Linked DNA regions of Arabidopsis thaliana. The protein of the gene in region 1 binds, or shares a complex with, the protein of each later gene. Each region holds a gene or a part of one and is shown in the gene's direction. Other genes may lie near its edges.

Region 1 (6,630 bases):
GATGAGATGGGAATGGGGAAAACAATACAAGCCATCTCTCTCGTTCTTGCCAGACGGGAAGTTGACAGAGCCAAATCTAGGGAAGCAGTTGGGCACACCCTTGTGCTTGTTCCTCCTGTTGCTCTTTCTCAGTGGTTAGATGAGATTTCTCGGTTGACATCCCCGGGAAGCACCAGGGTTCTTCAATACCATGGGCCGAAGAGAGACAAGAATGTTCAAAAGTTAATGAATTACGACTTTGTTTTGACAACATCTCCCATAGTTGAGAATGAATATAGGAAGGATGAAGGAGTGGACGAAACAATGTCTCCTTTACACTCTATTAAGTGGAATCGTATCATCGTCGATGAGGTCAGTACCAAGACCTGCTGGTTCTTCTTCTTTTCCATTTTCAAGCATGTAAGGAAAGGGGACTGTGAGATTTATTGTACAGTAAACCACAGCAGGGGAAGCTCACTGCAAATTTGCTTTTTGTGAATCTTTTATCCTTCAGGGGAAGCTCACTGCAAATTTGATATAATTCCCGTTTGTCTTCATATCAGGCTCATGATATCAAAAACAGAAGTAGTCGCACTGCCAAAGCTGTTTTTGCTTTGGAGGCGACCTACAGATGGGCTCTGAGTGGTACCCCTCTCCAGAATGATGTTGACGAGCTCTACTCCCTGGTTAGTTACTCTTTCCTCAACTTTTTCTATAGCACGTAATGATATCTCAACATTGCTGATTGTTTGTCCCAGATACGCTTCCTTCGCGTTTCGCCATACTCATATTACTTTTGCAAGAAATGTGACTGTGAAGTTCTTGATCGGAGGTAACATCTTACCACTCTCAATTCCTGGTTACTTTCTCCTTTCCCATACTTCTGTTTGATAGTTCATAACAATCTTTGCTGTTTCATTTCCTTTGTCCATTGCCTTTGGGCTTTGGCGGTGACTGCAGTGCGCATCGAAAATGTCCCAGCTGTCCTCATAATGCAAATCAACACATCTCTTGGTGGAAAGAGGTAACTTTGAGGTGCCATTATTAAAAACATTTTAAAAGCAGGATCACCATTATGTTCTTTGGTTTTTATATTTTCCAATCTTGCTAGAATGTGGACAAACGGAGAAACAGAGCCTGTATATTCCTTAAACAAAATGTTCTAAAGGACATTCTACTAAGACGTACTAAATTGGGCCGGGCAGCTGACCTTGCTCTTCCTTCTAGAATCGTATGTTCCTTTCTCTCCCTTGTCTGATATAAATGAAGCTTGGTATAGTTGCTTCCGAGCTTGATCTCTACATATAAATTTAGATCTCTCTGAGGCGAGATGCACTAAGTGTAGTAGAAGCTGATTTCTATGAATCACTATACAAAGTTAGCAAGACAACATTTGATGGGTAAGTTACTTTTGTTCTATGGATTTTCACTGGTTTCTGCTCCATGCTTTGTGTAAACTGAATTTTATTATTAAATCTGACATGTACATTTGTTTCTGCAGGTATATTCAGGCTGGGACATTGATGAATAACTATGCACATATATTTGGTCTTCTTATCCGACTGAGACAAGTGAGTGGTATCGATAGTTTTGTTGTTCTATTTACAAGCCAGTGCATGTTTTGGATGATATAGGTATATAGATTTCTGATGCATTTTCTTGCAATTTTTTCAGGCTGTTGATCATCCATACCTGGTGAGTTATTCTAGTCCTAGTGGCGCTAACGCTAACTTGCTTGATGCGAACAAAAATGAGAAAGAATGTGGTTTCGGCCATGACCCTTCCAAGGACTACTTTGTAAGTGTTCCAGTCGATATATTGTTGCTATTTCATACTATCTCGACTCTTGTTTCTCAGTAACTGTATCTTCTGGAAATAGCTGCCACCATTTTACACTTTCTTAAAGAATCATCGGATGACTAATGTTGGACTTAACTTGTTCGGTTAATATGTCTTTGGTTCTCTTACTTTGAAGGTGACTTCTAGTGAACATCAGGCAAGCAAGACAAAGCTTAAAGGATTTAGAGCCTCTAGCATTTTAAATCGGATAAACCTCGATGATTTTAAAACAAGTACAAAGATTGAGGCTTTGGTATGTGCCCTTTGAGATCTACAGCTTCTGTCTCTCCCACGCTTAAAGTTTCTTTGGAGATTGGAGGCTTTATCTAACCATTTGGTGATAAAAAAAATTTGTATGCAGAGAGAAGAAATCAGGTTCATGGTTGAAAGAGATTGGTCTGCCAAAGCAATAGTATTCAGCCAGTTCACATCATTCTTGGACCTGATAAGTTACGCCTTGGGGAAGGTAATTTCAAGCGCAACCAACTACAAAATGCTACTACTACTATATCTGTGCTCCTTTAACATTCTCTTTAATCATAATGAGACATTGAATAAAAATGATTGACTCATTTTGTACAACGCAGTCTGGGGTTAGCTGTGTTCAACTGGTGGGAAGCATGTCCAAGGCAGCTAAAGATGCTGCACTCAAAAATTTTAAAGAAGAGCCAGATTGCAGAGTTTTATTAATGAGCTTGCAAGCTGGAGGGGTTGCTCTAAATCTAACAGCCGCTTCGCATGTAAGAAGTGTACAACTTATAAAACAGTTGCTCCTAGAACATGTTTTATTCACTGACATTCGGGTGTTTGATTGTATAGGTGTTCATGATGGACCCGTGGTGGAACCCAGCGGTTGAGAGGCAAGCACAGGACAGAATACATAGGATCGGACAGTGCAAGCCTGTCAGGTTATATTTTTGAGTTGTCCTTCAATATACTGTATGTTGTTTTGGTGGGGGAAGAAAGAAGAAACATTTGGTTGTGTGACAGGGTTGTAAGATTCATAATGGAGAAAACAGTAGAGGAAAAGATACTAACGCTTCAAAAGAAGAAGGAAGATTTGTTTGAAAGGTTTCTTATTTTAAACGATACGCTTCTCTCAACTTTGCTGGTTTCTTATTGTCAACTGTATGAAGCCTATATGAAGACATATTTGCTTTGTTACAGTACGTTAGGTGACTCTGAAGAGGCCGTTGTACAAAAGCTGGGAGAAGACGATATCAAGTCCCTGTTCGCATAACCAAATCTTGTAGATGAAGAACATGATAGAAAATTTGTATAGATAGAAAAAAGAGTCTTGACAGGACAAAATTAGGCTCAAGCTAAAAGATTTGATACATACTTGTGTAATATGATGAGCACCGGATAGATTGTATATGAATCGGATCACAAACTTTTCCTTCTCCCGAAGAATATTGAGCATGAGGCCATGGCCGGTTTGAGCCATACCGTGAGAACTTAGTTACAATGTCGGTCGACTAGTGTACGGGTTTCTGGTTTAGATTATGGGCTGGTTTAATATAAATGGGCCTATTTATTAAGCCCAATTACTTCGTATGTAATGCAATGTGCTTCTTCTACGAGAGAGAGAGAGATCAGTGAACAAGTCCCCGTTTCTTCGTTCTCATCATCTTCATCGCCGATTTTGCAACGACCACCTCTGCTACTCCCGTCGATCAATCTACGGTGAGCTCTCTGCTCTCACTATTCCCTTTTCAATTTTCATTCCTTTTCCATGACGACAAATATTTGGATAAAGAACCTTATTCGATTTAACTCCGTTGGTTGTTGTACTGTACCGGAATACAACTTTCCGGTAGCTCTCTGGTTTTGATTGCGGTAGAAATCTAGAATATAGGCTCGGAATTTCATTTTCTAGTTGAGATTACACTGTTTTTTCTTTTTTGAAAATTTTCACCTAGGGTTAGTATTTGACTCAATTGGATTTTGTCGGTAGAGGAATTTCACTTATTTTTCTATTATTTTGCTCTCCTGGATTTTGATTATCAGAAGAAGAAGAAGAGATGAGTAACACACCAGCAGCGGCGGCGTCATCATCGTCTAAATCGAAAGCTGCGGGAACTTCTCAGCCACAGGAAAAGCGCAAAACTCTCTTTCAAAAAGAATGTAAAGTCTTTAGTTAAAACCAGATTTTTGTATTCTTCATTTTGTGATTCTTCTGGTAACAATGGTTTTGGTGCTTTTGTTGATTTTTCAGTGCAGCATATGATGTATGGATTTGGCGACGAGCAAAACGTAAGCCGCTATCCTCTTCATTACTATTTTGTTGCCATATGAACCGTATTTGTAGATATAGTTTCATTCCAATACAAGTAACGAATTAGGTAGAGAATCTTTGCTTTAAAGGGTTCTTGGTCGTGTAACATCTTTTAGTGTTTTACCACCTGAAACTGATCCAAAACTCCTCTGTATTTAGCCTCTTCCAGAGTCTGTGGCGCTTGTAGAAGACATTGTTGTGGAATACGTCACAGATTTGGTAGTGAGCTTTTTCTTTTTGTGAATGATTCATGTTTTACATTACAAGCGGAGAGATATTAGCTAACAAGTGATGTTTCAATGGCAGACACATAAAGCTCAAGAAATTGGTTCAAAGCGAGGAAGACTTCTAGTTGATGATTTCTTGTATCTTATCCGCAAGGTAAAAATTCTTTTTAAAAAGTACACAATCGATGATTGAGATGGTTTATGGTTTTGTATTCTATATCCGAAACTTTGGCGTCTTTGATTTATGCAGGATTTGCCAAAACTGAACCGCTGTAGAGAACTGTTGGCGATGCAGGAAGAGCTGAAACAAGCACGCAAAGCTTTTGATGTCGACGAAAAGGAACTCGTTGATTGATCTTGCTTTTCCTCAACGGGAGGAACAAATGCTAGGTAAGAGGAACCTCATGGATGCCGGACTAGGGACAGCGTTTTAGGTTGTAATCAGAATTCGAAGCACAGTAGCAAAAAAAAAGTGTGTTGACTTAAAAAAGGTGAAAAAAAATCTTGCACAAGGCCGACTCATATTAAATGTAGGCCCATTAGAAGAAAGCCCATTATCTAGCATCCCGTATATATCTACGGACGACCTTTAATTTTTCTTGAGTCAGGAATTTCGAAACCCTAAAAATTTAGAATAACCACCCGATTTTTGTTTCTTTCATTAAATTAATTACCGCAATAATTATAAAATTAGTCATCATTATAAGACTTTTGTTTTTCTCTAAATTTTTCGTCATCTTTCTGATATTTTGATTCATTATTTTACCATGGAAACAATAAATAAGAATGGTGATCAATTACCAACTAAAGAAAATCATTGTGATCAATTAGAGATAGAGCAAATAAACAACACGAGCATGAAGAAGAAAAAGTCATCACGTGGGATGCACATGTTCTCCGTCGTCATGTTCATGCTTCGTCGCCGCCGGGGAGAAAACCCTTCAACACCAGGTTCTGGCGGCGAGTCGTTAAGTCCGTACGTAAACTCCGTTTCGAAATTACGATAATGCCATCGTCAACTTTTACTAACACAATTGTTCTCCCTCCGGCTCCTCCTCCTCTGCCAGCGACAGAAATGGGAGGAGACGATGGTGATAATGATAATGAAGATGATGATGATTCCGAGGGTCGTTTATCAGAGACTATGGAGGTTTTCACGGCGGCTTCATCTTCATCATCATCAGGAATCTCGGGATATGGATCAGCCATGTCCTTATATGATGATGATATTGATGAGGAAGAAGATGAATGTTATAGTGATGTGGAAGGAGGAGACGATATGATTGATGAGAAAGCTGAGGTTCTATGCAATAATGAAGATGCAAAATCAGGTTTACACTGATCGTTGCAAAGCCAAAGGGATATATAGTGATGCATTAATGATCTTATTAATTATGGTTCGTATCATCTATCAAGTTTACGTCATCATCATTCAGGTTTTAATTTCTTGGTCATTTTTGGTTTTTGTATTATAATTTAATTTAATTCCTTTTAACTTTTTCTTCATTTTTGTTTCTGTAATTAGTGAGTGTATTTGAATTCATTAATGAGAAAATAGGAGAATGAAGTATATCTACTAAATTCTATTTGTGTTTGTGGGGAATGTTAAATTTGGTTTGCAGATTAAAGATCTCGTTAAATATTTTATGTTCAATGTTTTCAATCGGAAATTGGTCATATTAATAGCACATTTGACCAATTCATTGAATCGAGTTCTTTTCGAAAATTGAAGACTTTGATAATACCAACCGTTTATATTATGCATGGACATATGCGTAAGTGAAAAATCATACTGAGCGATGGTAACAATTACACAGTTGATTCCATTTCGTGAAAAACTCATAGAAACAACGGTGACAAATGAAGTTTCCATAGCCAAGAATTGGATCCTCGCCATACGATTAACCTACCGAGATGAACCAACGGTGATCATCTCTCTAAACTCCAAGACCAATCCTCAAGATGATGCAAAAATCTCGACTCTTCAACTATGCATCAAAACCAAATGCCTCATACTCCAACTACTTCATATGAAACAAAATACCAATCTCGGCGAATGCCTTAGTGATCTATTTCGTGATGAGAGGTTTGTTTTTGTAGGAATAGGTATTGCTAAAACTGTCGCTAAGCTCGGTGGGCTAGTTAGAGTAGTGGTTAAGAAAGTTGACGTTCGTGATCTGGTAAAGGTAAATTTTCCATTTAGTTATGGTGAGAGGTCAAGGGTTAGCTTGAAGGGTATGGCTTGTGAGTTGTTGGGATTTGGTTCGTGGAAACCGAAGAGGGAGATTTGTCCGAGAGACTTGGCTA
Region 2 (6,142 bases), on another chromosome or scaffold:
GAATGTGAAGCCCAAGCCCAATTTCTAAACACCGTGTCGTTTTGATAGCTAAATAACAGTGAGATGCTGAGTCGTGAAACGGCACGCAGTGTTTTGTTTTTTTAAACATTGAATTTCTCGGCCCGACATTATCGTGGAAGTACGAGATTCACTGGATTTGATGGCTCGTCGGCTGTTTCTCCTCCTCCTCGCCGTCACGGCAGGGTTGAGCTTGACGGGAACAACCGTCAGAGCAGTTGGCATAAATTGGGGGACAGAAGCGTCGCACCCTCTTCCGCCTTCAAAGGTTGTAGAGCTTCTGAAATCAAACGGCATTGTCAAAGTGAAGCTCTTCGATGCCGACCCAAAAGTTCTCCGAGCTCTCTCTGGTTCTAATATTGGTGTCACTATCGGAATCCAAAATTCGATGCTCAAGAGCTTGAATGCATCCGTAAAGGTAGCAGAGAGCTGGGTACATGACAATGTCACTCGTTACTTCAACGGTGGAAACAGAGTTCGAATCGAGTATCTTCTTTCTCCTTCTCTTCTGCTTATCCAGTTATATATATATAGATTTAAGATTTTTAAGCTGGAATTTAACTTATGGAATGTGAATGAGTCGGATTTGTTTCAATGCCAAATTGCCAATCTTCTTATTGTGAAATTATCATTAAAGAAAAGAATTGATTTTCAGGTATGTAGCAGTTGGAGAAGAGCCATTTCTCCAGAGCTATGGCAATCAGTATAAGCCTTTTGTGATTGGGGCAGCTATGAATATCCAAAATGCTTTAGTTAAGGCGAACTTGGCAAATGAAGTGAAGGTTGTAGTCCCCTCAAGCTTTGATTCCTTTCTTTCTGAATCTGGTCGACCTTCTTCAGGACACTTTAGGGCTGACCTCAACAAGACGATGATTGAACTCCTCTCCTTTCTCACAAAGCACCACTCTCCTTTTTTTGTGACAATCTCTCCTTTCCTAAGCTTTCACCAGAACAAGAACATCTCCCTTGACTTTAGCCTCTTTAAAGAAACAGCAAAGGCTCACAAAGACGGACGTAAAACCTACAGAAACAGCTTTGATCTAAGCTATGACACACTTGTCTCTGCATTGTTCACAATTGGGTTTTCGGAGGTGGATATCGTTGTGTCAAAGATCGGTTGGCCTACAGATGGAGCAGAAAATGCAACATCACTGACTGCTGAGGCGTTCTTTAAAGGACTGATAGTTCACTTGGAGAAAAAGACGGCCTCTCTCCCGCGTCCTCCTGTTGAAACCTACATTGAAAGTCTCTTGGACGAAGATCAGAGAAACTTATCTGCTGGGAACTTTGAGAGGCACTGGGGAGTGTTCACTTTCGACGGTCAAGCCAAATACAATTTCAGTTTCAACCATAAGAATCAGGTAAACGCGCAGAATGTTCAGTACCTTCCTCCTAAGTGGTGTGTGGTGAACAATAACAAGGACTTGTCAAACGCGTCAGCAAGAGCATTAGAAGCGTGTGCTGTTGCGGACTGTACATCGATACTTCCTGGCGGGTCGTGTTCAGGCATCAGATGGCCAGGCAACGTTTCATACGCGTTCAATAGCTTGTACCAGCAAAATGATCACAGTGCAGAAAGCTGCAACTTTGGTGGACTTGGTTTGATCACTACTGTTGATCCTTCTGAGGATAATTGCCGGTTCTCGATTCAACTTGACACTTCTCATTCATCTTCGCAAACTCCAAATTTCTTTCAGAGCTGGCCTCTCCTCTTATTGTTCCTACTGTCCGGACTCTTTTAAAGTTGTAGTTATAGCAAAATTTTGGTGGATTTTGCCTCTAATTTCTCTCTAATAGCCACATTTCAAAACTGTATTGGGCTACGTAAAAAATAACTGTTATTGGGCTGGGCCTTCGTAAAGGTTAGATGATTATGGGCCTTAGAACCATGTTGTCTTATTTGATAAAAAAAGCAAGTCCAGTTATTTTGGGAAACCGGTCGGTAAAAGATAAGATGTAAAAGAATTTAAGATTTAAGATAAATGCAATAATAAAGTTCCACTATTTTTGAGAGAAATATAAATAAAACGCGAGATTTTTTATTCTACGTCTAAAAAGGCTCTCACACGATTCGTTAAGAGTTTTGGTCTGTTGTTTATCGCAAACCCTAGGTCATGGCTGGGATGTACAATCAAGACGGCGGCGGAGGTGCGCCTATTCCGTCGTACGGTGGTGATGGATACGGCGGAGGGGGAGGTTATGGAGGTGGTGATGCTGGATATGGTGGACGCGGTGCCTCTGGCGGAGGTAGTTACGGCGGACGCGGTGGTTACGGTGGAGGCGGTGGTAGAGGAAATCGAGGTTTGTGATTTAGATTGTTGCAGATCTGATTGATATAACCTTATGATTCTTTAGATTTCTCCATTCCTTGCTGAGCTACTTTTGTTAAATCTTTAGTTTCTCACTATTTCGATGATTCGTTTTGATTTAGGCGGTGGAGGTGGTGGATATCAAGGAGGTGATCGCGGTGGAAGAGGAAGTGGCGGCGGAGGCAGAGATGGAGATTGGCGTTGTCCCAACCCCAGGTAATGATTGCAAATTATTTGGGATTCCATTCTTTCTGCATATGTAATGAATTGAATTAGCTGTTGAATTCCTTTGTGGGAGCATGTTTTGAAATTGTTTACCCTCGAAACTGTTTGTATAGTTGTGGGAACGTGAACTTTGCAAGGAGAGTTGAATGTAACAAGTGTGGTGCACTTGCTCCTTCTGGTACTAGTTCTGGTGCTAATGATCGTGGAGGTGGTGGATATAGCCGAGGTGGAGGTGACAGTGATCGTGGGGGTGGTCGTGGTGGTAGAAACGATAGTGGTAGGAGCTATGAGAGTAGTAGATATGATGGTGGAAGTAGGAGTGGTGGTAGCTATGGTAGTGGTAGTCAGAGGGAAAATGGTTCGTATGGTCAGGCTCCTCCTCCTGCTGCAGCTATTCCATCCTACGATGGTTCTGGAAGTTATCCTCCACCCACGGGTTATGGAATGGAAGCTGTTCCCCCGCCTACAAGCTATTCTGGTGGCCCGCCGTCATATGGTGGTCCACGAGGGGGTTATGGCAGTGATGCACCGAGCACTGGTGGTCGTGGTGGTAGGAGTGGCGGCTATGATGGTGGTAGTGCTCCTCGACGGCAGGAAGCTAGTTATGAAGATGCAGCTACTGAAAAAGTCAAGCAGTGCGATGCTGATTGTGATGATAATTGTGATAATGCTAGAATATACATCTCTAATTTACCTCCGGATGTGACAACTGATGAACTCAAGGATCTCTTTGGTGGCATTGGCCAAGTAATAACACTGGTCTTTTACTTCTGTTGTGTTTTATATCTTGGAATAAGCCTTTCCCTTGCTATAAGTTATTAAGTTCTTGTTTGTGTACATGTTTATTGGTGTGCTGATAAAGTGTGTCTGGTTGGATCTATTTTAGGTTGGAAGAATTAAGCAGAAGCGTGGTTACAAAGATCAGTGGCCCTATAATATTAAGATTTACACTGATGAGAAGGGTAACTATAAAGGTGACGCCTGTCTGGCTTATGAAGATCCCAGCGCTGCACACTCTGCAGGCGGCTTTTTCAACAGTATGTACTATGGAATTGCTGTCTAGCTTAAAATTGTTTAAAAGTTCTGTTTCGTGAATGGTGGTGGATTGTTTTGTAGATTACGAAATGAGGGGGAACAAGATTAGTGTAACGATGGCAGAAAAGTCTGCGCCCCGTGCTCCTACCTTTGACCAGAGGTAGCTGTCCTGATCATTTATCAGCATTCTTTTTTGTTACCATTTAGCTGTTACCACCTGCTCCATCTTATAGGTGTTTGTACTCTAGTTGTTTTAGGCTTTTAGCTTTATAATTTTAGTAGGGAATATGAGTTTTTGCAATGCTAAGTTTATGTTCCTTGTCTCTGAAGACTGTTTGGATCTTGTATCCTACTGGGGATTTGCTTTGTACACTCATCTGGGTATGACAGAAAGGGTTGGGAGTTCGTATGTCATCAAATTATGCCTTAGGTCTATGTTCATGCCATAGGAAATAAATCTATGTAGTTATCTTGTAACCTATAGCTGTGGCTGCTCTTGGTTGTGAAGAGATCTGTTGTTTGTTCATGCTTCTTATAAGCTCCTAGTAATTCCCCATATAAGTTGTATCTTTATCTGGTTTTCCATGCTCTATAAGACTCGTCTTTGTTGTGTGTTGAGTCACTTCATCTTACGTAGTAAGCTGGTTTTAATTAGAGATGTCTGTGTCTGATCTAATAATGTTGTCCTTGCAAACTTGTGAATGTCGCAGAGGTGGGGGTAGAGGAGGAGGAGGTGGTGGCTATGGTGGTGGTGGGGGAGACAGAAGAAGAGACAACTACAGTTCAGGGCCAGACAGAAACCACCATGGGGGAAACCGGTCTCGTCCATATTGAGAGAAAGAGAGGAATGAATGAATCAGCTGTTATGTGTTCTAAGAGTTTTGTGTGTGTTAAGGAGGGAATTTTAGTAAAATGTTCTATGAATCCTCATATTGGAGATACAAAAAAAGAGGTAGGTTTTTGTTCACTTTGACCTTGAGCAAAATTACCCCTTTTTTCTCCCTACTTGTTCTGTTTCTTTGGGGATCTATTATTCATGCATCTCCGGTTTATTTTTAGTTTGTTTTTCACGATGTGAAATGTTTGTTTTTTGTTTTATTGAAGGAAGCTGATATTTAACTGCAAAATGCATTGCAAATTGGTGCTATGATGATTTCAGGTGAGTGCATTCATCTTGATTACTTCTTTCAACACCAGAAGTCCCTTTTTTGCTTCTCTTCCTTCTTTTTTTGACTCTGTTCAACACAAACAAAACAGTCGTATGTTTTCATGTTGTATTGTGTAATGCATTCATTTAGGCAACCACACTTCTCTTTACAATTTTCGGAGTTGTTATCGTTTTTTCTCGCAAACTTCTTTTATAGCAACATGTGTTCCTCGAGAATTGGCAGGAGTGGGGGATGGCTAGGCACTTGTGTCTGATCAGTTGATCTGAAGTATGCAGTGACCTTTCAAAGATCAACTTGATGATTTTATTGCCAACTTCACTCACTGGGGCTATGATTAGGATTAGGGTTTTACAAATGAGTGGCCTTTTTTTGGATAAAAGACGTTGTTAATAAATAGTTAATCGTTCAATCTGGATCCCAAGGACTAAAGAGAAGGGTGTCTCGTAAAGTTCTCTATGTGTATATGTCATGACCTTTTGGTCAAGTGCCGGATTGGCCAACTCTTTAATGTGTTACATGTAACGAAAGTTTATGTTGAAATTATAGGAACAAAAAAGACTAATGCCGAAAATCCCAAGAGAAAGTTTATTAATGACTTGTTGTGTAGAAAATATGGACGAGAGAAAGAATCCAGGAAATTTGGAATCCTGTAACATTAGTTTCAAGATTCCCATTCTCAATTCGACAAAGAGAATCCATCTTCTAACATTGCATATTCACAGCTCAATCGCTGGCTGGCTCTAGCACACGGCGATATTACTTATTTACCATCCCTTTCACACACATATTGGATAATATACATATTCTTAATAAAAGTCCACCAGTAGTCTTAAGCATAAATTTACAAAAAAAAAAAAAAAAAAAAAAAGTAAGGCAGTAACAATGTAATTCTAACAAACTGCTTAGATGTGTGAAATCCAGATATTTGTAAGTTGTAACTTGTAAGACCACACTATTTAATACTTAATGTGTTCTTAACCTCAAATTGACAATACCTGCGATTTTTCTCACTTTCGACACAATTTTCTATATGATTTGAACTTCAACAATTCTATATAAAAAAAGGTAAAATATTTACATGCAAATAATAAACTTACCCATTACCATATCTTGTATACAAGAAGCTAAACGAAGGAGGGAATGAAGTAGGAATCACATATAAGCAAGAAGAAGCTATGGAACTCAGGATGGATAGCGCCAACAGATATACATGTACGCATATACAAAACATACAGCACTGGTGAGCCATGGCGCTATCCCTCCTGAGCTTTATAGCTATTTCTCTACTACTCAATCTGAAATTTACATCCATAGGTATGCATCTTCCTTTACATATGTGTTATAATGTATCATGTATGTTATATGTATTGTAATGTTAAGTACGTA
Region 3 (3,899 bases), about 20 Mb from region 1:
ACTATCTGAAAAATATGGAGCCTAAATTTAATTTATGAAATCAGTTTTTAAGAAGATTCTCATAAGGCCCTAGTATCCATGAGAAGACACAAAGAGATGACCGAAAGAAAAAGGAAAGGCAGATAAACGTAGTAAACAAATCAAGAAAGAAGATGTGAAAATAGGGATATTTTCTAATCAGAACATAAGTAAAAATCAAGTGTTGGTTGTCCTATTTACAAAACATGCTCACCCGGTATAATAATCCCTTGGCAGGTAAATGTCCTTGACAGGACCAAACTGCTCAAACGACTTCCTGAGATCTTCTTGCCTGAAGAAAAGGACAAGGAGTAAGAAGAGAATTACAATTTGCTAAAAGCCAAGAAATGAAGATACATTGACGTCAACTTTTTGAAAACCTTTACAGTAAAGATAAGAGAACATCATGCCAAAATATGCTAAGAGGTGTCAAGTCTTCTTGCTTAAGAGGTGTGCAAACAATAACATCATCCACAATGGCTGAAGAAAATAATAGAGAAGTCAAAAGTATGTACCTGCAATCATGGCGTAGATTGCGAACCAAAAGACTGGTCGGGAGGTCCCTGCTACGACCTCCATATCGGCCTCTAGGGCTTGGGCTTCGACCCCTCCTCCCATAACCCCTAGGTGGTGACGGAGTGTAGCTCCTTCCCCTCATTGAGTCAAGCTTCAATCTCTCTATCAGTCAGTCAACACAAACTAGATTAGAAAATACACCAAAAGAGGTTGGATATTTAAGAGAGAAGAGACCACAAACACAAGAGCTATAACACCAGCGTCTAAGAGAACTTTAAAGAAGCAATCAATCTAGAAAGATCATATTTTCTAATTGAATAGTAAATTATATCAAAATAAGATCACATGCAATTCAGGTAGAGATCGAATCAGCTCAATTTCAAAAGATAGGAGCTAAGAAACGTTATATGTGAATAGGCACAAAAGATCACAACTTTCGTCAAACTTACTTAAGATGAACGATTCAATCCTTTATATCGATGTATAGACATAATAATTGCCTGATCTACAGTTTTTTCCGTCACGGGATCTTTCACCGGACTCAAAAAGTTGTACGGGCAACGAAGTTGTTTACAATTGAAGGAATCGAAGTCGGAAAAGCCAAGTTTATTCGACAGAGAAAGAAGAAGATACGGGTATATACGGTTGGGAAGAAGAGCAAAATATCAGGGATAAGACTTACCGGTGAACGAATCTCGGTGGTGAGGAACGACGGAGAAGTGATGCTGCAAGAATTGGAGAAGATTGATCAATGAACGACTTATTTATTAGGGTTTCTTTATATTATTTACGTTTTACATTTAACCCCCTCAAAATTATTTTAAAGTATTAAAATCCCCTTAAAGTTTTCTATTTGATAGATGCTCCATTCCAATTTCTGGTAATTAAATTATCTTCCTTTTTATTATCATTATACATTTATACTTAGTGAGATCAATTATCTAAGAGGAACTAAAAATGTAAAATTCAATAGAATTAAATAGCAAATTGGTGATTTTTCACCAATTGTTGGGTTCTGTTTGTACCTTTTATAATTATTTTGGTCAAAACATAAATCTTGAAACCTTTAGGGAGGGAAATAAAATAATAAATTGTTAAAAGGATACTTCTAGAAGGTTTATCTTATAATGTCTCTCTCTCTCTCTCTCTCTCTCTCTCTCTCTAACATAACAAAGAATTCGTGTTTCAGTTCAATAGATTCTCGTCTCTTTTCGACTTACGACATCAACAGACCGAAGTATACGTATTCGATACGATCTGCGTTCGCGAATTCACGTTTCTGGATTGATTAAGAAGAAGAATTCAAGTCAAGCTGTTGGTATCTACAATGGAAGAACAGTTCATACTTAGGGTTCCACCGTCTGTTTCAGAACGAATTGATCGGCTTTTAAGCGAGGATGCTTCTACTTCCGACGAAATCCCTTTGGATTTGTTTTTTTCAGGTACCAATTTTTAAAGGGTTTCTCTCTTTTTTGGCACATTACATCTGGGTTAAAGTTTCATCCTTTTTCTTAAATTTATGTCCTTTAGTCGTCAATCAATGAAATTAGTGTCTGGATCGTTTCGGGGATTGCTCCTTGTGTCACGTGATGAGTTCTTGAATGTTGGTTTGCCCAAAAGACATTCTTGAATCTGATTAAGGATCAAAGCTTGTGATTTGTGTCTCCTGGATCAGCTTAATGTTGTGAATTGTCTGTTTTGTCAAAGAAGCCAAAAGACATTCTTGTTGCATCATTATAGTTTGTCTAGAAATCCATTTGCATATTGTCTCTGGAGCAAACTTGATACGTAATGTTTGTGTGAACTGAATTTGCAGAGGATGGGAGAAACGGGACGTTTATGATTGGAAACGACGAGTTCCCGGCTTCTCTGCTTGATCTCCCTGCAGTTGTTGAGTCTTTTAAAACTTATGATGATTGTGCATTAGTCAAAACTGCTGATATTGGGCAGGTAAAATCAAGTTACTTGATTCATCTTTTACTTATATGCGTTAACTTCTGTAATTTTGGACTAAAACTCAATATGGATGCTTTGATTTGGCACACAGATGATCATGGTTAGGGAGCCTGGTGATCCTGCGCCTAATACAGTTGAATACAGACATGGTCTAACTCCTCCAATGAAGGATGCTCGAAAGAGGAGATTTCGTCGAGAGCCTGACCTTAATGTAATTTTCATTTGTTGTTATCTATCCATCAACATTGTTTCACTAATACTTGTGATTATGATTGAAAGTCTGTAGTGAAACGTATCTTTTGGAACTCCAAAGTTCTTTCTATTAAGTTAACATATTGATTTGCCAAAATGTTGCAGCCGGAGCTTGTACAGCGGGTTGAGAGAGACTTGTTGAATATATTGAGTGGCGGAACGGTAGAAAATGTAAGCTTTTCTTTCTATTTTCGACACATGATGTGTCTATATTTGCTCCTTGGATTTAGTAACTTCATTTATTTGAACTTTTTTTGGTGTAGGTACATGAGCAAGAGGAACCAGCTACGAACGAGAATGCTAGTAATGCAAGTAAGAAAGTATCTTCTTCTTCACCTACACCTGTTGAAAAGCCTGAAGCTCCTGAGACAGGCACTAGTAATCCAACAGGAGTTGAACCGGAGAGAAGTGAATCAGAAGATTCTGATGATTCAATGTGAGTTTATTATTATATAAAGAGATTTTTCTTACGAAAGCTTAGAGTTTGCGCAAGTCCTGTCTTAGAAAATCATGGATAATTATGTCCCCATGATTTGATGATGTCTTGTTCGACCTTTTTCAATGGAAAAGTTGTTTTGCGTTCAAACTACACCAAAGATTCTGTTTATTCTAGTTCAATTTCGGTTATTTCTTGAAGACAGTTTCAGGAATGAACCAAAGATTGATAGTAAAAGAAAAACCTTAGACTTAAAGAACAAGAACCAAGACATTGTTGATGCTAAACCTATCAAAAGCTGGAATCTAATCCAAACACCAACCATCGCCTTCATTAAACTTTAAGGTTTTTCTTCCGGGTCATTTTCTACAATGCCAAGAATAAGAAAAGAAAATTGACACTCTGCCTAGAAATTGAGATTCTAATTATCGGTCCCTCCATTTTCTATCCTGAATAGTGAATACGTGCAACCATGTCTACCTTTCATTACATACACAATTATGAATTATGTCATTTTTCAAACAAAACAACCCGAAGCTAAAACAAATGTGTAGAGCCTCGTAAGTAGTTGCCGTCACGATCTTCCTCTTCATCTTCTTCGTGTTCTTTCTATAAATTCTTTTTAGTCTTTGTATCAAGAAGCTTCCACAGCTTTTATAAACACTCATTGAGAAGAAAGAAAAACGTCAAGGGATTAGTCTAGGTTTTGGCTTGCCCCGGT

The links. The genes of interacting proteins can lie anywhere in the genome.
Region 2: TAF13 (region 1) and TAF15b share a complex: the UniProt entries of both Arabidopsis thaliana proteins name them as parts of the TFIID complex.
Region 3: TAF13 (region 1) and TAF7 share a complex: the UniProt entries of both Arabidopsis thaliana proteins name them as parts of the TFIID complex.

Annotation. Positions count from the first base shown.
Region 1 is NC_003070.9:577,242-583,871, forward strand, and holds TAF13 (TBP-associated factor 13), read left to right. Parts: upstream 1-3,383; 5' UTR 3,384-3,504; intron 3,505-3,828; 5' UTR 3,829-3,842; coding exon 3,843-3,945; intron 3,946-4,036; coding exon 4,037-4,074; intron 4,075-4,255; coding exon 4,256-4,315; intron 4,316-4,402; coding exon 4,403-4,477; intron 4,478-4,573; coding exon 4,574-4,678; 3' UTR 4,679-5,069; downstream 5,070-6,630. Other genes in the region: AT1G02670 (P-loop containing nucleoside triphosphate hydrolases superfamily protein), read left to right, coding at 1-351, 543-665, 738-811, 940-1,003, 1,091-1,210, 1,294-1,379, 1,481-1,550, 1,654-1,776 and 6 more. UniProt on the Arabidopsis thaliana protein: TAFs are components of the transcription factor IID (TFIID) complex that is essential for mediating regulation of RNA polymerase transcription. May be involved in polycomb repressive complex 2 (PRC2) mediated repression.
Region 2 is NC_003076.8:23,636,845-23,642,986, reverse strand, and holds TAF15b (TBP-associated factor 15B), read left to right. Parts: upstream 1-2,013; 5' UTR 2,014-2,132; coding exon 2,133-2,319; intron 2,320-2,449; coding exon 2,450-2,543; intron 2,544-2,665; coding exon 2,666-3,299; intron 3,300-3,438; coding exon 3,439-3,589; intron 3,590-3,668; coding exon 3,669-3,747; intron 3,748-4,297; coding exon 4,298-4,421; 3' UTR 4,422-4,539; exon of another isoform or gene 4,540-4,691; 3' UTR 4,692-5,572; downstream 5,573-6,142. Other genes in the region: AT5G58480 (O-Glycosyl hydrolases family 17 protein), read left to right, coding at 161-504, 674-1,760. UniProt on the Arabidopsis thaliana protein: TAFs are components of the transcription factor IID (TFIID) complex that is essential for mediating regulation of RNA polymerase transcription.
Region 3 is NC_003070.9:20,627,453-20,631,351, reverse strand, and holds TAF7 (TBP-associated factor 7), read left to right. Parts: upstream 1-1,659; 5' UTR 1,660-1,861; coding exon 1,862-1,976; intron 1,977-2,350; coding exon 2,351-2,484; intron 2,485-2,581; coding exon 2,582-2,701; intron 2,702-2,847; coding exon 2,848-3,198; 3' UTR 3,199-3,329; downstream 3,330-3,899. Other genes in the region: SCL33 (SC35-like splicing factor 33), read right to left, coding at 233-310, 534-676. UniProt on the Arabidopsis thaliana protein: TAFs are components of the transcription factor IID (TFIID) complex that is essential for mediating regulation of RNA polymerase transcription.